Rattus norvegicus: one gene and its partner. The protein of the gene in region 2 purifies or fractionates together with the protein of the main gene of each other region. This does not show direct contact. Links are inferred from orthologs where the notes say so. Each region holds a gene or a part of one and is shown on either strand. Other genes may lie near its edges.

What was found. The genes of interacting proteins can lie anywhere in the genome.
Region 1: the proteins of Med7 (region 2) and Med9 purify together in Homo sapiens (affinity purification with mass spectrometry; 5 studies listed by BioGRID and IntAct, counting the BioPlex papers as one, with this or other methods). This does not show direct contact. The link is inferred for Rattus norvegicus from reciprocal best matches to the Homo sapiens genes MED7 and MED9.

The regions. Positions count from the first base shown.
Region 1 is NC_086028.1:45,249,030-45,252,781, reverse strand, and holds the start of Med9 (mediator of RNA polymerase II transcription subunit 9), read right to left. Parts: upstream 2,554-3,752; 5' UTR 2,536-2,553; coding exon 2,324-2,535; intron 1-2,323.
Region 2 is NC_086028.1:31,353,957-31,357,708, reverse strand, and holds the start of Med7 (mediator of RNA polymerase II transcription subunit 7), read right to left. Parts: upstream 2,673-3,752; 5' UTR 2,627-2,672; exon of another isoform or gene 2,079-2,626; intron 29-2,078; 5' UTR 1-28. UniProt on the Homo sapiens protein: Component of the Mediator complex, a coactivator involved in the regulated transcription of nearly all RNA polymerase II-dependent genes.

The DNA of each region.
Region 1 (3,752 bases), about 14 Mb from region 2:
AGCAAGCACAAGGCCCTGGGTTTGGTCCCCAGCTCCGGAAAGAAAAAAAAAAAAAAAAAAAAAAGCATGCTGAAGCTGGGCAGTGGTGTCCCATGGCACTAATCCCAGTACATGGGGGTAGAGGGAAGCAGATTTCTGAGTATGAGTCCAACCTGGTATACAAATAGTTCCAGAACAGCCAGGAATACAGGGAGAAACAAAAACAATCAAAAAGGAAGAGAAAGCACACTCAGTAAGGTGTGTGAAGTAAGCATCCCTCGTGGCCTCTACCTCAGCCCCTGTCAGCAGGTTCTTGCCCTGGCTTCCTCCAATGAGAAAAAAATGATACGGGGTGTAAGTCAAATAAACCCTTTCCTCGTCCTTTTAGTCGGTGTTTCAGCACAGCAATAGCCCTAAGACAAGCGCCAAGCCACCAGAGCAAGAAACCTAGACTGCCTCAACTTCAACAAAAGGGCATGCTGATGTCCATAAATATGACTGGAACTGTAATCTTGTCTTAATTTACTTTTTAATGGTTTAATTACTATTTAATGGTTTAGAAGAAATTCAGGGGTTTGTACCTAGTGTCCTGTGGCTATACACTCATGTGCTAAATAACCTGGCCAATGACAGATCATATATACAGTGATAGTCTAAGGCTTATAAAGTAACCAAAACCTTCCTTTGCCTAATGACACAGTAGATGTGGTAATGTTGCAGCCCAATGCACCACTGTGTGAGCAAACAGTTACACTGCGGACAGATAAGTGTAACACATACCATTACAGGTAGTTCTTACTGCTTGATAACAATAACAAATGATGTCACTAGCTTATGGACTTATACTGAACATTTTACTGTGAGAGTCACAGTTGCTAGGTGTAGTGGTACATACCTCGAGCCCCAGCACTCAGGAAGCTGAGACAGCAGGACCAAAAGTCCAAAGGCAAAAAAAAAAAAAAACCCTGTCTAAATAAGTTTAAAAATAAAATCCACCCTTTGAACAGAATGTCCTAGTACACCAGCAGCTACTTCCTCTTTTTTGTTTGTTTGGTATATGTGGTGCGTCTTGTATGTGTGTGGGGTGTTATACAGGTCTGTGAATGTCTGAGTGGGCATGCGAGAGTTAAGTGTCTTTCTCTGGAGCTTCACCTTACTGCCTTGAGACAGGGTCTCATATTAAATAGAAGTTCAGTGTCAGCCAGGCTAGCTGGCCAGAGCTCTCGAGATCTGTTTGTAGTCCTGAAATGATGGGGCTACGGGCATGAGAGCCATGACTGGCTTTTTATGTGGATGCTAAGGATTCAAACTCAGGTCCTTGTGCTTGTACTTGAGCAAGTGCTCTTACCAACCAAGTCATCCAATTCCCACTGTTGCTAAGAATCCTGACTGCACCAAAAGGCGCCAGGCAGTAACTATTCTGCACCACCTAAGTTTATTAAAGCACAATGGAGAATGCCTGCAGAACAACAGTGTACCGCTTGGAAATGACCCAAGTGTATATGGAAGAAACAAAACACAGGCCATCGTAGAGATTGGAGACTTTGGGTCTAAAAGATGACACATCCTTGGATATTCTATAAGAATAAAGTTGCTGGGGATTTAGCTCAGTGGTAGAGCGCTTACCTAGGAAGCGCAAGGCCCTGGGTTCGGTCCCCAGCTCCGGAAAAAAAAAAAAAAAAGAACCAAAAATAAAAAAAGAGAAGAATAAAGTTAATAGCGGGACACAATCATTTGGAGCAATTTCTGTGTCTTTGTTTCAAATGTTTTCTAGCATCACTACTCTCCTCTCCACTTTAAAAAGTGTTTTTATTGTTTGTTTTTCTTTGCTTCTAACTGTTAAGCCCTGTAAGGGTAAACGGCTGGTCCTTTCCTGTGTACAACCCTAGTACTTAACACAGTCACACAGGTAAGATGCTGCCTCACATTGAAATGGGAACTAAACTGTGTACAAGGTGAGAATCTAGAGTCTGAACATCTGCGGTCCACCAAAATTCGAAAACTTTTCAAGGCTCACATGATACTACAAGTGGGAAATTTCATGCTAGGCTTCATATGAACTGTCAAACGCAGGTGAATTAAAACTATTGTATAAAATTGTCTTCAGGCTACGTGTGTATGGACTTGAGACCCATCACCAAGCCACCGCAGGATCTGAGATGGGACCAGGAACAGTGCACTGCAGAACCTAAGCATTTGACCAGTATGTGGACTTCACTTGGGAGTACAGTGTGTGCCCTCTGGGAAAATGGGGCGTGGTCCACAGCGCCGGGTTTAGACAGCTCGGAACCCCGGACACCGGAAGCCGCAAAAGGTGGTGTCTTGACCTTTCCTAGGCCCTTACCATTTGATGACATTGTGAACCAACGGCAAAAAAGAGTAATTCTCCTCTTTCACGCCAGCGGGGGACTGAGGCCGCGGAGCCGCCGGCGGCGGGAGCGCGGCGACAGGCAAAGGCTGAGGCGGCGGCGGCGGCTTGGACTCGGGCAGCAGCTCGGGCGGTGGCTGTAGCGTATCTTCAGCCTGTCTCCCACCCGCCACCCCAGAAGAAGCCATAGTACCACACGTCCTGCGGCTGCCGAGGGTCGCGGGATGCTTGCGTCACAACTAAGCGCCCGGGAGGCCGGGCGGGAAAAGGCTCTGAGTCTGCGCCCTGGGCGTAGGCGGGCGAGCGTTGCTAGGCGACGAGTGTCAGGGCAGCTAAATTGAGTAGTCAAGATTAGGGTATCTACTTCAGTCATCTTTTTCTAGTTCACATGACACAGAGAGGTCAAAACACCAACGAGGACCACCCCCCCGGGACTAACAGGAAGAACGGATGACGCTAGTGAGCACCGTGTGAAACTGGGGCTCTGCGGCAGCGAGCTTCCAGATGACAAGAACCTACACTTCTTTGTGTCACGCTAGCCTCCAGGAGGGCCCTAGACTGGCGACAGCAAAACACGCCATACAAACTCAGCCCACATGGCTGCCAAGGGAAAAACTAATCGTTCTTCAAGCATTTAGTTTGCATCTAGCAGGTGCCAGACTACATATGTATATTAAGACTAAGCTCTTGGACCAAATAGGAGAACTTTCTGATAGGCTTGCATTTATTCATTTGAAGCAAAAGAGCTCTATTGTAAATTTCTGGACAAGGGTAGCAGTAATCCTGATCCTGACTAATAAAAACCAGGAATGAGGGAAGCAGTCACTTGGGAGAGGACATCTGTCCTTGGTGATAAGATCTATGTCAGAGCGCAAGGCCCTGGGTTCGGTCCCCAGCTCCGAAAAAAAAAGAAAAAAAAAAAGATCTATGTCAGTAAAGAGGGGCAAGGAGCCCACATCACATAAGCAAAAAGAAACAGGAATGTAGAACCTCACAATGGTGTTTTGAGGTTATTAGTTACAGGTCTCAGAATTGTTCTCTTCAGAGCTGCAGATAGTTCTCCAAACAGAGGCACTGTCCGGAGGGGGAAAGAATAGTTTCAGTGTTGCTAAAAGGAAGACAGAAACAAAAGTGAAACAAAGTGATTTGTTTTTTCTTGAAAAATGAGTGTACCAGAACCCAAGCCAACAGAGTAAAAACACTCAACAAAATGCCCACTGTCTTCCATCTCTGACCTAGGTGCATTTCATCCCCTTGGTGGGAACACAACTTTCATAATATGATTCAATGGGCTAATCACTCAAAGGGAAAAAGGGGGAGTTAGGAAATACAGACTCTGTGGGACCAAGTGTCTTTGATAGAAGAATGTTTCTCACCACAGGAAGCTGTAGGGCTTCCTTCTAAC
Region 2 (3,752 bases):
TAATTTCACCCTAGGGAGACAGGTAATCCTGGCAAAGGAGGAAGAAGTGAAGAGAAAAATAAGGCAAAGCTATGGCTTTATGAAGATCTGATTAGTCCCTTGTTAGACTAATGGGATAGAGCAGGGAAGGTGCAGAAAGTTGCACACAAAGATGGCCTTCCAAAAAGGTCTGCCCTCTGTCTACTTTGTGATAGCATGAGTTATGGTTCCAACATTCAAGTATAAATTCCCATTGTACAATTTCTGCAACTGACAGTGGACAATGGCAGGCTCCTTTTTACTGTAGAATCACCACTTACACATACTTAGTCACGGACTCCCAGGTACCATGTCTTCTTTACAATACCTGCTCTGGTCCTACGGCCTGCTGTGTCCTGGCTCTTAACTCTATTCACCCAAGACTACAGGTTGTTGCTTAACTGAATCAGGCTTTAAAATGCTGAATCGCCATGTTCACTGCAGTGAGGATAACAGAAGTGAGAACCATGAGACATGTCTAGTGTCTAACTACACACCCAAGTCGAGGTGTGCAAACCTTGTCTATGAAGGAAATTCTGAGAACACGGAACAGCCTCACTTGGAAATCCTACGATTATTTTTAATCTCTTCGAGCCCTTCTCACCTGTTAAAGAGCACTCATATGATCGTTCAGTAAGATCTGTTCTGCTTGTTTAAAAAATGATGTTAGCATTAAGGACTCACACATTGTAGATAACCTGACAAATGTAAATAAAGCATTCAAAGTGGGAAAACAAGCAGCAGAGTCCACTGCGGGTTTGCAGAGGACTTTATTTACTGTTATTTTTAAACAATTTTTTAAACTGCCCTAAGCATGATGGTTGTTGAGTCCTAATGATTGAGAAGCATGATAGCTGTGAGTTCAAGGCCCATTTGAACTACATGGGCCAGCCTGTGCTAAAGATCCATCTTTAAAAACCAAGAAAATATTTTAAAAATATATAAAATTGGGAGTAAGATATGGTAGTGGTCTGCAAGATATTAGACGAGTGAGGAAGCAAGCATGATCAAAACACACATGTTTGTGTGTGTGTATAAAATTCTCAAAGAACAAACATATATTCTGAAAACTAAGAGAAAAGGGTCTGTATTGGGGGGCTTATACATGGTATATGATATACTTCTTTTTCATGCCTGACTCCTTTTGGTAGGCATACGTTGAAACCTACTCTGGGAAAGAACAGTTATATACAAAGTCATATGCCTTATTTATTTCTCTTTTCCATAATCAAACTACATATGGTGTCTATCAATCTCACTTTGCTTTCTACTGTACAGTGATTTCCAAAACCAAACACTTAAGATTCTCTATACGTCTTGACAAAAATCACTTGTTAAATTTCATACTTCTAGAATTTTCCAAGGTTTCTGAGGGAAGCCTCATCTTACAAACATCTTATAGTACAGTTTTATTGACAATTGGCATTTTAACATCTTTTCTACATAAATTTAACACCTAAGTCCCAACACTGCAACATATATGGTCAAAATACCCTCTGCTTTTCCAATTTGAGTTTAAGTACATTATACAATGAGAAGATTCTTGAGCGCTTTTTCACACTGAGATTCAAGGTAACAGGGGAAAGTAACATACAGGTTCCGTACACCTGGAATACATTAAATCTGAGGGAAGTCACTTCAAATTCTTCAGGTCGTCCAACTCAACTATTTCAGGGTATATATACCTAAGATACTAGTGTCTATTTGCAGTCACATCAAGTCAACACCCAGCCTAAATTTCGTCCCCTGAGGGCTTTTGAAGATGAGATCTGCGCTTCCCTTAGCCACACCCATACTAAATTCCCATTTCCCAAAGGTTTCTAATAAGTGACCGGCATCCTCACTTCTATCTTCCTAACGGCACAACTATTCCCAATTTGATTTTAGAAACAAGAAGCCAGTTTCCAATGTGCAGAAGTGGGTAAAATGTATAACGGGAATTTGTACTCCGTTTTTGTTTTGTTTTGTTTGGCTGTTTCGTTTTGTTGCGCGGAAGTGCAAACCCCGATAACTCAAGCATCCCGTTTTAGAGCCTGCCACCTTACAAAAACCGCCCTCACCGGTTTAAACTGAACTTTTCAGAGCCGCTGGATGTCCTCACTTGCTAACACTAACAAAATTCAGTTTCTAGCATTTGCTTGGGGGGCGGGGGGGGGGAGTGGTCGCAAGCTCAGACACTTGGCTCACTTGGTCCCTGTCCCTCGTAAAGTCTGGTACAGGATAAGATCCGCCCGAGGCTCTCCCTCCCCTCCCCCAGCCTCCGCGCTCCCAGGTGGCTACTATCATTTTACTAATGCCGACAGGGCAGGCTAAGGCCACGACACTTTAAAAGCCCGTGGCGTGGGGACGAGAACTCGGACCTCCCAACCTCCGGTCCGGCTCGTCGTCCGGTCCGCGAGACGCCCGGAGCGAGCCGCACTCCGCGCACCTTCGGCCAGCCGCCTGCCTCAGGCCCCGGGGAGGCTCCGCTGAGGGACGTGGGAGGAAGGCGAGCCCGGGCTTCCCAGGTTGTCCCGCGCCGGACCTCGGCGTGGCGCCGGGAAAGACGCAACCGCGGGGGCGGAGAGACAGACTCTGGCTGCGGTCGCCAAACGCCGCGCCGGCTCACCTCAGCTCTAGCTTTTCCCGTAGCGACTTTTTCCTCAGCGCAGCGGAAGCACAAGTTCCGGTTGCCTTCTCAGGAAGAAGCCTCTGACGCGGGCCTTTAATTGGCTACGAAGCCTGTCCTATAGCAGGTCCTACTCCCGCCCTAAAGATACTGCGCATGCGCACTCCCGCGTCTCCCGCTTCTCCCGGGAAAAGATCTCTTGTCTATCTTCTTGGTCAGGTCAGGAGAGTGTTTCTTCATACTTCTTGTTAGTAAAAGAAAGTACTCTCTAGTAATTCGACTCCTCGCCGCCCACCCCCTTTATATAAGACTCTTAAAATTAAATATTTGCCTTATATAAGTCAGAAAATACAGATAAGCAATATTTAAAAATATCAATGCTAACCTTATCATCAAAAAAAATTTTTTTAAAGCAAGTTGTACTCCATGATATATTCATACATACATGGGGATATTTGGGAACATGATTAAGACTAACATCCTACACCTTCATTTTCCCCCTTCCGTTCACTTTTATTTTCATTTAGGAATTCAAAGATGTATATGACAATTCTTCCACAAACCGACAAGTAAAAAAAAAAATTAATGTAATTTTTAAAATTAGAAGGAGTGGGCAATTTCACTGTGTAGCCCAGGCTACACATGGTTTCAAATGTCTCTTCCGAGCCTCAGGAAAGCCAGAGGTTCAGAAATGAGCCATCAGGACCAGCAAGAAAACTTTCCATTTAGGCCTTCCCCCACCACACATATAAAAGAATTGTTAACAGATGTCCTAACTCATGGGAGTCTTAAGAACGCTTGTTGCAAATTAAAAGTGAGATAAGACTGTTCTGCTAAAACAGCTCTGCTTCAGAGACAAGAATGTCCCAGTTTCTTCCTTTAAATATGTGAAGAATTGCAGGCATAAAAGCGAAAGAACAGTCTACTCATCACCAACTTCCACAGCTATATGCTCCCCATCAGTTCGCCTCTAGTCCAGTATGAGCCTCTCAAAGGTAAGGGCTCTTCGCTTTTTCCCATGCCCATAGCATTACTATCTTACTGAAAGTGTACCAGGGGTTGTTACACTGATCAAATGAGTGTGTGTTCACACATGGATATATATGTCATATAACTTATTAGAGTG